Linked DNA regions of Tribolium castaneum. The protein of the gene in region 2 interacts with the protein of the main gene of each other region in a pairwise test. Links are inferred from orthologs where the notes say so. Each region holds a gene or a part of one and is shown on either strand. Other genes may lie near its edges. The genes, in order: breast cancer anti-estrogen resistance protein 3 homolog, p130CAS and Pax.

Region 1 (3,652 bases), on a different chromosome or scaffold from region 2:
CCACAATAGTTTCCTCTTCTAGTAGTGCAATTATCTACTCAGACGTCAAGAAACAACCGTAATGAACCTTTGTGTCTGATGTCTGAAGTGATTCATTATCGAGGAAGGAGGATTTCAAACACCACATTAGTTTTAATCACCCATTAAGCTTATAGTATCATCCAATAATTATTACATTTCTAATGCAATTATTTTTGTTCCAGATCGAATTTAAGCTCCGTATATGAGCCAGTCCAAAGTAAAAGCTTAAACAATCTCATTATGGTAAGTATTTTATTGTCTCCGTAAAAATATCATTTTGTAAAATTGACCCGAGAGACTTGCTCCTAATACCGGCCCAATCCAATAAACCTTGAAAAAAATTAAGTTTGAATTTTATTTCCAACTGACATGAAATACCCAATGACTGTGCCACTTGGAATTCCAAACAGTTGGCCCAAAGCTCCGAGCTGGGTTCATACTAGCCCCAGTATAAGGCCCCTGAAATATAACAATTTGAAATCCAACTCGAAACGAGATTATTTCAGTAATACAGCTGTGATATTTAAGAGAAAGACGATGATTCCGATCCTCAAAGAAACCGAATCTCCTTTAGCATAATTCCTCGGATCCCACGCGGCGCAGATTGCCACTGCCATAATAAACGTTGCTATAAATTCCACAAGACATGCCTTGAATTTTCGTCACATTATTTTATTTGAATCATCATCGAAATACATACTTGCAAAAGCGATATTTCATCGTGCGGCAACGTGACGCAATGACCGTAAGAAACATTCAAGTGCTTATCTGGCGTTACCGCCTTGAATCAATACCTTGAGAGCACCACAATTAATAAAAAAGTGATTTATTACCTTAAGAAGTGCATAGCCGGTCAAAGAACCCGCAATTTGGGAACCTACATAAATCGGGACCGAAGTTAAGGAAATTTCGCCCATAATGAAAGCACAAAGTGTGACAGCGGGGTTTACATGCGCCCCAGAAATGTGGCTGAACATCTAAATTTAATTTTTTACTTTTGAAAGTGTGATAGACATTTTGCGTCCAATACCTTACCTGAATGGCTGTCGTAACAGACAGACCACTGGCAAGGCTCGTTTGCAAAACTGTAATGTTTTCCCCAAACATCCCCTTTGTGCAGCCCATACACGAGAGGAAAACTAAGACAGCTGTGCCAATGAATTCGGCACATACTATTACCATTCCGTTGAGCAAAGCCGGAGTTTGTCCCTTTTTGTTGTATGTCACATCGCAATCTGAAATGGCAGTTCTTGTGATTGTAATTACGGGCGTTATCTGTTGTTGAATAGTTCTACTATTGCTAAACTAACTGGAGGAAAATTATTGTTTTCATTTGAGGTAACGACGCGATTTATAATTTACCTCGTGAGTGCACAAAGTTAAATATCTATAGCCGTAATAAATAGGGATTGTTTTGTGGGAAAAGCTGCAGATTAGAAGCACTCAATTGTTCCTACAGCAAAGAAATGTCATTTCAGGCAGTCTTATTGTACTTTTTAGCTATGAAACGACCGTTACTAAAAGCTGCTCATGTGAGACAAGTTATTTCCTCGTTTAGCCAAGAAAGCAACCTTTTAGATTGTTTTGCGACTTGCCTCAAGCGTTAAAAAATGATACAAAAATACAAGCAATGTGATAATTTGATAAATATTTATGCGATTTTGCATTAACATGTACACAAACATTAGCTTTGTTGGCCTGCAGTACAAATACAAAAAGGAAATCATTAACAATACTTTTAGTATGTTATTGCTGCAGATGCTACATTAGTATGCGCGAATGCAAACTTTAAAGTAAAATTTTTATCTTTTCTATAATAAGACGTCATAACCAACTATTTCTGTACAGACTCTTTACTTAACAGGCGCATAATATAATCATTGAAACAGCGCAATAAAAAGCTTAAAATTAACTTCATAATTTTATTCTTTTGACACTTAAGTCTTAAAAAATTATATTCAGCAGAAAAAATTATGCACCCACCTTTAGGAATATCAACACTGAATCGATGATCATTTCCCACATCTCTCATAATTAATTCTTTTTAGTCGTAAACAAGTTCCACAACTAATAGCAATAAATTACATTAAGCCGTTTACACTAATTGCATTACTTGTATTGATATCACTATCAGGATTAAAAACAAAGGTTAATTCCTTTAAACGCTTTAACGTGAAACATTTTGTTCCGTTCTAATTTTAATCAATCAAAGATGTGAAGGTAATCCTGAAACTGAACCGCGTCAAAATACAAATGATTTATTAGGCATATTGTTTGAGAAAAACGCAAACATTGTATGCATTTTGGGAGAAAATTCCAACAGACCGGATTATAATAACAAATCATTGCATAGTTTGTTCGTTGTTCCCTATTGTGTTAGAAAACAAATAATAAAAATAATGGAGATTTATGTCGAACGATAGTATTAGTAGCATCGTGTGTGCTGGAAACAAGAACGTGGCAAAATTTACTTTTAAAATAAGTCTGTAATATTACAGCTGCTCTTTTGAATTATTAAAGCGACTAAATTCATTCATTTTATGAGTAGCGATTTAACCCCTCTTGTGTCTTCGGGAGTAAACAAAATGACTATTTAATGAAAAGCCAACCGCTAAGTCAGAATTTAAAAGAGCTAAAACAATGCGAAAGTGCCCTTAATACTATCGTTCGTTCAATGTAGGGTTTTAAGTACCTTTTCTGTTCGTTTGAAAATTTCTAGACACACTTGAGTGGTTTATAATGGTAAAGCTTCCACCAGTAAGGTCGACGTTCTAATTTTAAGTTAAACCGCATTTGGAAAAAAATTATCTATACTTTTTGTAAATTTCCCAACAAAAATTTTGTAACGTCTCGATTTGCTGTCGAAATAATTAAAACAGTGCAGTAACAGCTATAAACACAACTCAGCCATTGTTTGCGTTTTCTCGCCGTATTTGTTCTTATGAAAATTCGTCGTCAATCTCCTTCCCCGCGTTAAACTTCTAATCCACTTTTAACGCCCGAGCGAACTCTATTGAATATCCCTTCGCTTCCGGATTTATTGAATTTCAACTAAAATATTCTTTTCAGGAGCCTACGGCGGACCCCTCGATGAACTCTCTCGAGCTGAAAAAAGCTCTCGAATGGGAGCTTTCTCTGGACAGTCGCGACTTGCGTTCACACGCTTGGTATCACGGAGCCATTCCTCGATCCCGTGCCGAGGACATTGTCCGAGAGGAAGGCGGCTTTTTAGTCCGGGACTGCACTTCCCAACCCGGCAATTACGTCCTAACTTGCCGAACGAAAACCCAACCCTTGCACTTTGTAATCAACAAAATCATCCTCCAGCCGGACACGGTGTACGAACACGTCCAATTCCAGTTTGAAGAGGATGCTTTCGACACCGTCCCCGACCTTATCACCTTTTATGTGGGCTCGGGAAAGCCCATCACGGCAGCGTCTGGGGCCAGAATACAGTTTCCGAAAAATCGGATGTACCCCTTGTCGTTCTACGCTGCCAAATACCCCACACCTCTGCCCCAGAGCAGGCTGAGCTCCCCGGCAACGACCCCAATCGGGGGAATGGTAAAAAACACGCGCAACTGTGGCTTTATCTAATTTTGATTTTTCCATTAGGGTATGGGGTACCGCC
Region 2 (4,357 bases):
ATGCAATACTTTTTTATTTAATTAGAAATCGCGATTTTCTTAGGTGCGCGATAAGGTTGCGCACCTAGAATTTAGCTGTATCCATACTTTTTAGCGATCAAATAAATAAATAACGATACAGGTATACACGTTGTGGTAATAAAAGATGTTCAGTTAAGCACAAAAATGAAAGTAGTCAGATTTTTTTCAAGCAACTTAATTTTGATATATTCTTTAATTTGTTTTCTTTAATAACGGTATCGATTTTTGCTCTTTTGTTCCTATGATGTGGAATATAATTTATTGTCAAATTTGCAAGTTTTTTTTTATTGTTTTGTACATCATAAGACATTAATTGTTAATTTTTTTCAACAGGTATTTGTTTAATGTTCCAAGAGCTGTCGTTTCTACTAACTAAAGACAAAAAAATATTATCTGAAGCACCAATATAACTTAAAAATTTTAATTTGAAGAAAAAAGGCTCAATCAATTTTTGGTCATAGGAACTTTTAATTCAGTTTGATGTCCTTTATCAGCACCCGAGAGATTGTCCGGTACTTTTAAATAATTCTGTATTATTGAACTTATTTTTATCAAAATTCTTCCAATTAATTACGTTTCTGATAGCAAAAAGCGTTAAAACACGCAAAAAAAGGAAGAATAATGTAGACACACATATAGACACGTACGAGTATTATTGAGGCAGCCTTATTTTAAAATAATAAAAAATTATTAATAATAACCATTTTTTTTAACCAAACTATAGTAGTTTCATAGAAATTTTTTTATAAATTTTATGACATAATTAAGTATCTGATAGAAAAAAAGTAACAAACAATAAAATAAATTGACCTGATTAAGCGATTTTGCGGCTTTGTTTTTTCTAGTTTTAGACTTCACTTTGGACTTAATTGCGTTTTTTTTGTTCCTGATCTCGTTCCGAACTTTAGTTCAAAAATGTGTTTAAGAAAAAGACGAAATAATACTGTTTTTACTACTTTCTGCACATTTTTGAGAAACTTTGGAGACATAATTAAGCTGACTAAAAAAAACTGTATAAATAACACCCCAAAAAGGCAAACATTGCTCCACTAGCAATCTTATTTTATTAGTTAAACCGTTTACTGACATAATTCAATGATTTTTCGGTTTATTTTGCGATCACAATTCTTGGTACAAACCGAAAATCGTTTTGTAGGTCAGGGGTGTTCCCAAATGGCGCCCTTCTCATATTGCAGATTGCGTAACCGCCCCCTTTGACATGCCGCCAGGGTGCGGTGCAGCCCCCACATCCGCCAAGCTTAAAAATCGCATCACCCAACGGAAAATTAATAATTAATACCATCCATTCATTGTATGGGCGAGGGAAAAAAATATAAACGATACAATTAAAAATGCAATAAACTGTGGTCACGGATGATGCTGCTGCCACTTCTCTCCGCTGGACCATACGGAACAGAAGTCTCCAAATAGCCAGTTATGGTTGTGTAGAAAAACTCGTCTACAGTATGATCAATAAATGTTTGTGTGCATGCTCAGTTCCACGATCTGCAGCCGAGTCCACGAATGATTCACGAAACACTATTTCCAGTTTAGTTGGTTTGTAGCTGCATGGGAGTGGAGAAGGTGATGGTATTCTTCAAGTTGGGCCTTACTTAACTTTACCTTTATTTTGGTTTTTCTCTATTTCTCTGTGTTTTTTTAAGTTTCGTGTTATTTCCAAAATGCCTCAACCAACGGATAACTTGCCTCCTTCACAGGTATGTAGCTATGCAATTTATTACAATTTTTCCGATCATACTTCACTGTCAAGTTTATAATCATATGTTTGTATAATATTAATGTTATTATTAAATAAAGTTTATAAATATAGCTTTGCCTTGACTGTATTACTGTTTTAAAAAGTACCAACGGCGTTTTGCTGCTACCATTTTACTGATGTGTATTACATTTTGTAAGTGCTTGATTAGATAAGTTGTGATAAAAGTGTTGAGATGGACAAAATGTTTCCGTATTTATACTTCCAATAAGCATTTGCTCTGTGCTCTAAATCGTCTTCTAACACAATGAAATTTATATGCAAATATTGATTTTTTAATTACTTCAACTATTGTGGCATGTAGGCATGAATTTGCATTGATTATTCAAAATCACATATTACATAGCTGACTGCACCGGGAGTTTGCAATCGATTTCTGCCGTCCTGTGTTGCATGAACCTACACTACAATCAAAATTGCAAATATACAGGATGCTCAAAAACTGGCGCACCAACTCAGTGGTACGTTATTGAGAAGCAAGTGCAGATTACGGGAAAAATGTTGAAAAAATTCCTAAAGTTATATTTTAAAAAATCTGGAGCTACAAACTTATTGTGTTAACTTCTTTAGTATTCATTATTTTTTTATATTTTTATGTTTCATACCAGGTAATCGATGAATAATTATTTTAAAATTTACGATCAGATTTTAGGAGTTTTTTTAATTTAAAAAAATTAAAATTCATCCAAAAAATCACAATGTGTAGATGTGCCAACACTGGGAATTATTTCCTAGGAAACCGTTTCAAAAATAATTTATTTTTATTGTTGCTCAAATTCTATTACGATCATGACTGTTAGACAACGTTGCCACATATCATTTACCTAAAATTAGTTATTTATCAATAACTTTAATACAAAGAATTTTTTTACTATTTTTACCATTATATGTAACCACTTCTCTACTACACACCATTGAGTTGGTGCGCCAGTTTTTGAGCACGCTGTATATAACATCATGCCATAGCTAAAATATTTTACAAAATCGGCAAAATAATATAATTCATAGTGATTTTTCAGTTTTTAATAATAATAATAATTTATTAATTTTCAACAGGTAAATCACCCAAGTACAGAAAATGAAATTAAGTTAAATAAACGTTTTGTATTTAAACTAAAACTAGAAACAATACAAAGGTAAGAAGACAAGTAAAAAAAAAACAAATAATTAATTTTGAATTTTGCCTACCATTTAATTAACCTAATGCCCGAAAAACCCGAAATATTAGATTTTGTATGAAATTAAAAGAAAGAAAATTAATATCACAACTACTGCTAATTTTATTAAAATTCCTGCACATTATGTATGTACAATGACAATTTTAAAAGAGCATTAGTATTACAATGGATACAATAAAAAGTTATGTAGTACCGTAAGTTAATTTTAGGAACCAGATAAATTATCTTATTCACAAAACTAATGCAATATATCTTATTGTCCAGTATTGTTTAGTTAGTGCTTTATACAAAAAAATGTCTTAATAAACGTCTGATAAATACAAAAATTTTCCCCTTTTAGAATGTAATTTAATGACTTTCGGTTTATTTTTGCCAAAAGTTTACATTGCGACATTTCTGACCGAAAATTGTGCTAAAATGCTTAAAAAATACAAAATATGAAAAACACTCTACAGGGTGATTCAAAAATACCGTACAATCTCTCACGTGCTGATAAAGGACATCAAACTGAATTAAAAGTTCCGATGACAAAAAATGGACTTTTTTTTCTTCATTGTTAAATTTTTAACTGGTAAATTCGACAATAAATATATTCAACATCCTAGGAAACAAGAGAGCAACAATCGATACCGTTGCTAAGGAAAACAAATTAGAAAATATTGCTTGAAAAAAATCTGACTTCACTTTTGTATTTGACTGAACGTCTTTTTGACTTAATTCAGTGATTTTTTGGTTTATTTTTGTTCAAATTCTTTAAAATAATAATGTTTCTAGATAAAGGACAACGTATTAAGACATTCAACATTAAAAAACTTAAACTTTTGCGGCTAATAAGTTGTTAAAAATTTCAAAATCGTCCATTTTTTAATTCTGAGTGTTTCTTTTGAAAGTTTTTAGCTAAATTTATTATGTTCTCTTATACTTGTTATCATTTTTTTCGTAAGCTAAATACATAGTTTTGGACTATCAAAGTATGTAAACTAAGTTTCATCATTGTTTGTCCACAACCCTTATAGTGACTTATAGCGGCGGTCAGCTCGATTTGCGTGTGCGTCATCAATTTCATTTTTTCATTACCAACACAAAGCTATAAAAAATTATCAAAAACAATGCAAATTTAAACAGCTAAGGGCTATCTAAGGGTGGTATCCTTGAACATTAATTTAGATGTGCACTTCGACAACACCGTCAAGTGTCACGAATTTGTCAAACTGACATTGACAGTAAAATATAGACGTCGTCGCATGGTTGTCGAAAGTGTTATCGGTGTTAATCGCAAGTATTTTCTGTTCGTTTATTATGTTTTGTGATTTGCGTTTCGTTAGGTTTTTGATTCTGCGTTTATTAGTTCTTGTTTTGTGAATCTGTATTTTTTGTAACA
Region 3 (4,414 bases), on a different chromosome or scaffold from region 2:
ACAAGGGAATCGGATAACCAGACATAATAAACTGTGGACATAATTGGTCGAATTTCTTTTGAAAGAAAAATTTTAGTAAACTATATTGATAATAATGTATTTAAAATGACTGTAAGTTGAACAGAACTGTTAAAAGCATCACATTACAGCCCTGATGTTTCAATTGTCTCGTTTTGGCAAAATCTTCGTGAATTAATAATAATAATAATTTCCTGAGCGGCTCTTTGATCTGAACAGTCGAAAAAAAAATAAAATTACATCTGCGATTTTTCGGCTTGTTCTGACGATTTTCCTAGAGATTTGAGAATTTTTCCGTAAAAGACACACTTGTTTGTCTCGAAAAACGTTCTGAAGCGAGCGAAATCGGCGAAAATAGCAAGTTTGAAGCGTATTTTTTCTGATTAGAGAAACAACATTTGTGTGGATATTGAGTTTGTTAATGAAAAATGCTTTAAAAAACTAAAAAATAGGCCAATTGGGATGATCATTTTCGTATATTCTTTAGGAAAATACGTCGAAATTGACGAAGGTATAATTCTTGTCTTGTTTGGTAAAATTCTTTTTGAAAAACATTGCAAATCGCTCGGAAATAACGAATTCTAGATCTAATTATGCGATTGTTTTTTGGGTGAAAAACTCGTTAGAAATTTATAAAAAATAGAGAATAATAATATTTGCAGCTATATTTTGCGACTTCTGACTTGAATTTCTTGGTAAAAAGGATTCTAATCAATTTAGCAAAACAGGGGAAAGCATCGATGGTTGGACTAATTTGTGAATTTTTCGCCGAAAAACGGTTCGAGTTAACAGAAACAGATATAATTTTGCGATTTCAGCTTTGTTTTTACAAAACCTAAAATTGAGGAATTATTGAGTTTCTGTCAAAAGCCATCTAGAAACGATATTTTCTGGTACGTGACAATTTTTTGTGTGAAGTCTTAGAGTCGAGTTATCAAGAACTTTTAAAAACAAGCCAAACCACCGAGCAACTTGAGTCATTTCCACAGTATTGTTAGGAAAATGATTTCATGTTGTCGCAATTTTGATTAAATTTGTATTCAAGAGAGTGCTAAATAAAGGAATGAAATGTGTGGCATTTATTTTTTGATTTCACCTGTTTTTATTTCCAATTATGTTTTCCAAGTACGCAATGTCTGTAAAAGTCCACGGTCATAACCGGCGCGTAGGTTTAACAATCGTAGGTTTTTTCAATAAAAAGTTGTAACTCGCACGTATTTGAATCCTTGGACGATTTTCTAAATCAGTCGATCGTGGAGACACACGCATCGTCTAAATTTACCTCAGTCTTAGCGTTGACGTTTCCGACAAATCGTTTCCGGAAAATTTCGCGAAAATGCCACTTACGTAAGGTGGAAAAGGTGGAGTTTTCGTGATTCCGCAAGTGGTCTATTTATAACCGGACACGTCCAGGTTTGCCAAAACTCGCGGGTGCAACAGTTAGTCATAGTCGGGATCTTCCCAAAACTATTGTTTTTTTCTCGCTTCGTGTTGGAAAAACGAAATGAGTGCTAAATTGCGCACGCGGACGCCCTCACCCAAAACGGTCACTTTCGACCCCTCGCCTCCGACGACACTGGAGCGGAAGCGGAAAGTGATGAGGTTTAAATCGCACGCCGAATGGGAGCAATATTTAAGTGAGTACGCGGTCACGTGGCCACTGGAAACGAACAAAATCAAAAATGCGCCAAGACTTTTTATTTTATTGTCCTGGGTGGCAATCATTCGGGCGCACTGACGTATCAATTCATTTGTTAATTGAGGGGCAAGCCCACGATTACGTCTTGAACAAAAATAAGTCGGCGCATAAATGGTCCTCAAGGCCGAACTAATTTTACTAAAACAAATTTGTTTATGTAATCGACATAACTCGAATAACAACAAATGTGATCGATTATCGATGGGTCACGCGAAAAGAATTTCAAAATATGTAAATAAAATCGCCCGATTGCAGTATTGCAAATTTCCGCCTATCGTTTGTTTGCCTTACAGTGATAAGGAATTGCATGTTTGTCCATTATTGATACAACTGCTCGATTCAGTTAATTGCAGCCCAAGGATGTGTCTGCATTGCTGTTCTTACTAATCAGTGCCACCACCGTGTTTTATTAATAACCGTATTCCGTGTGATAACACCGTTTTCCCCAAATTGTGACGCATCCTTTATCAGCTTGGCGGTTTTAATTTCGAGTAATTGACTCATTTTGTCCAATTTCTTTCAATCACCAACCGATTTATTAATTATACTAAGCTCGGACGAAATGGACGTGACTCGAAATCCGTACGCCGAATTCGGTACAAAATCAATTTTGAGTTGTTTTTTTAAATTTGTTGATTTTTCGTGTTATTGCAGATGCTCTCTTGGCCGATCTTCAAAACACCGTGTCTCCGGGTGGCGGGAGCAGCTCCGGTTACGGGTCCTTGAATGCGTCCAGGGATGGACGACAATCGGGGGCTGAAAGTCCAGCCTCAAGAGTCGATTCGTATGGTGTTAGATCGGTAAGTTGTTTTTTTGGTTTTTGGCAAAAGCGTTGTTTTGGCGGAACCGCGTAAACGATTAGTTGCGCCATCTGGGAAATGCTGGTGCAAGTTATTTCGAGAATAACACAGTCACAAATTACGATGTTCTAGATGGAGATGTATTCAAAAACGTCCGGTCGTTTGAAAACTGTTTGCTTGTTTTGTAATTTGTGTGTGGCGACACCTTTTGATGTTGTATTTATAGATGCGGCAGAAAAAATATTCTTTTCGGAAATTTTGGTGTAATTATTGTGTAATCTCTGGCAAAATTTTGCGAAATGTTTGCGGTTCTGACTGAAAACCGAGCGAAAACAATTGGAAACAGCACAAGTAAACTAATTAACAGCGTAATCTTGCAATAGATTTTGAGATTTTAGTTCAAAATCGTACTGAAGACACGGAAAAAGAAAAAATAACACCATCTTCAACAAAATTTATTGAGGATTTTGGCTTATTTTCGAGTGGAACAAGCTAAATAACGTCAGTTTCAGTTCATATAAAATATAATTAAAGAAAATTAATGAATCTTTTCTATTTTCCTAATTAAGGAAATCGAGTGTTTTTTTAATTTTAACGGTAATTTTTTGAAAAAGCTTTGTTTGTTACATCAAAAACGTGTTAAAAATTACTAATGTTTTAGCATGTTTTTAACGAAATGTTGAAGTAATCGCTGAAAACAAACAAAAAAAAACTTCATTTTCTATCAAAATCGACATTTTTTTAGCTTAATAATTTACTGTATTGAAAATCGAATTTAGTTCTTAACGGTTGCGAAATAAAAAAGCCAATTCTAATAAGTGTTTGGACTACGAAGGACTATAACTTATGGGACGAAACGAGATACAAAATCGTAGGATTTTCTGAATCAAAAAAAATAAATAAATAATAATAAAAAATAGTAGGGCAGAGTAAAATAAGGGCGCTTCGAGAGTTATACCGTCTCGGTGTCAAATCGTTTTAAATTAATTGAAATTCAACCAGTTCACTAATTACTTGGAAAAAAAATGCAGAAATGTTGAGCTTTGTATTCTCAACAGACTGAGAAAAACTGAGGACTAAAATTATCATGAGAAACATGAGACAAAAATATTTAATAGTTATTTATTTAACGAGTGTGAGTGTAAATCGGACGTTTTTCGAAACCGTATTCACAACGTTTTGATAAATAGGCGACGGTGCCTAAAAAATTATCGCCTAGAATTATCAGTTTCCGTTCCACCTTATATTTTTGCAAACGAAGCGAATACGGTTGAAAATACAAAAAAGTTGAAGGAACAAGGTTCTAAAGAATTAAATTTTTCATATTTCTATCGTCAACGGTTTAGGTGTAAATAACTTTCCAATACCTGAAAACTTCTAAAATGAAGCAAATATATCGCTTGAGTGTCTTTGAACGACTTTGGGGCCAAAATGGTTGAAGACATGGACATGGTTTCGCGGACTTTTCTAAAAAAAATTTAATTGTCTACAACTTTTTTCTGAACATTTTTTTTAAATATAGTTTAAGAGATAATTTTTGCACTATATTCTTATATTCCTATATTCAGAGTTTATATTCTCACCTGAGGATGACCACTTTGTGGTTGAAACGCGTAGTGTTTTTAATAAAGGTTTGGTGTGTCGGGTTTTTTAAACTTTGTTTATTTTAGTTTCCACGCCAAGGAAATCCAACAAGAAGTAATACATTTATTAATAAATTATTTAAAAAAAAATGTTTATTTCTAATGTGTTCTTGTCCATTTTGTTTAGTTTCAGAAAGTTTAAGTGGAAGAAAAGGTACCGATTTGACGTTTTTTTGGACTATCACTAAAAAAAAATACTATTTTCTAGCAACGTTTCGATTTTAATTGATGGCCTGTAGCAGATTAAATTAAAA

What was found.
Region 1: the proteins of p130CAS (region 2) and breast cancer anti-estrogen resistance protein 3 homolog interact in a two-hybrid assay, tested with the Drosophila melanogaster proteins (2 studies listed by BioGRID). The link is inferred for Tribolium castaneum from reciprocal best matches to the Drosophila melanogaster genes p130CAS and CG9098.
Region 3: the proteins of p130CAS (region 2) and Pax interact in a two-hybrid assay, tested with the Drosophila melanogaster proteins (2 studies listed by BioGRID). The link is inferred for Tribolium castaneum from reciprocal best matches to the Drosophila melanogaster genes p130CAS and Pax.

What each region holds. Positions count from the first base shown.
Region 1 is NC_087398.1:218,278-221,929, forward strand, and holds part of breast cancer anti-estrogen resistance protein 3 homolog, read left to right. Parts: intron 1-126; exon of another isoform or gene 127-203; coding exon 204-264; exon of another isoform or gene 265-273; coding exon of another isoform or gene 274-351; intron 352-399; coding exon of another isoform or gene 400-480; intron 481-533; coding exon of another isoform or gene 534-671; intron 672-721; coding exon of another isoform or gene 722-802; intron 803-854; coding exon of another isoform or gene 855-998; intron 999-1,056; coding exon of another isoform or gene 1,057-1,256; exon of another isoform or gene 1,257-1,270; intron 1,271-2,004; coding exon of another isoform or gene 2,005-2,053; exon of another isoform or gene 2,054-2,116; intron 2,117-3,090; coding exon 3,091-3,585; intron 3,586-3,636; coding exon 3,637-3,652. Other genes in the region: aquaporin AQPAe.a, read right to left, coding at 274-351, 400-480, 534-671, 722-802, 855-998, 1,057-1,256, 2,005-2,053.
Region 2 is NC_087394.1:14,545,180-14,549,536, forward strand, and holds the start of p130CAS (breast cancer anti-estrogen resistance protein 1), read left to right. Parts: upstream 1-1,547; 5' UTR 1,548-1,703; coding exon 1,704-1,739; intron 1,740-4,357.
Region 3 is NC_087395.1:17,976,746-17,981,159, forward strand, and holds the start of Pax (paxillin), read left to right. Parts: upstream 1-1,520; 5' UTR 1,521-1,522; coding exon 1,523-1,655; intron 1,656-2,046; exon of another isoform or gene 2,047-2,279; coding exon of another isoform or gene 2,280-2,313; intron 2,314-2,371; coding exon 2,372-2,517; intron 2,518-4,414.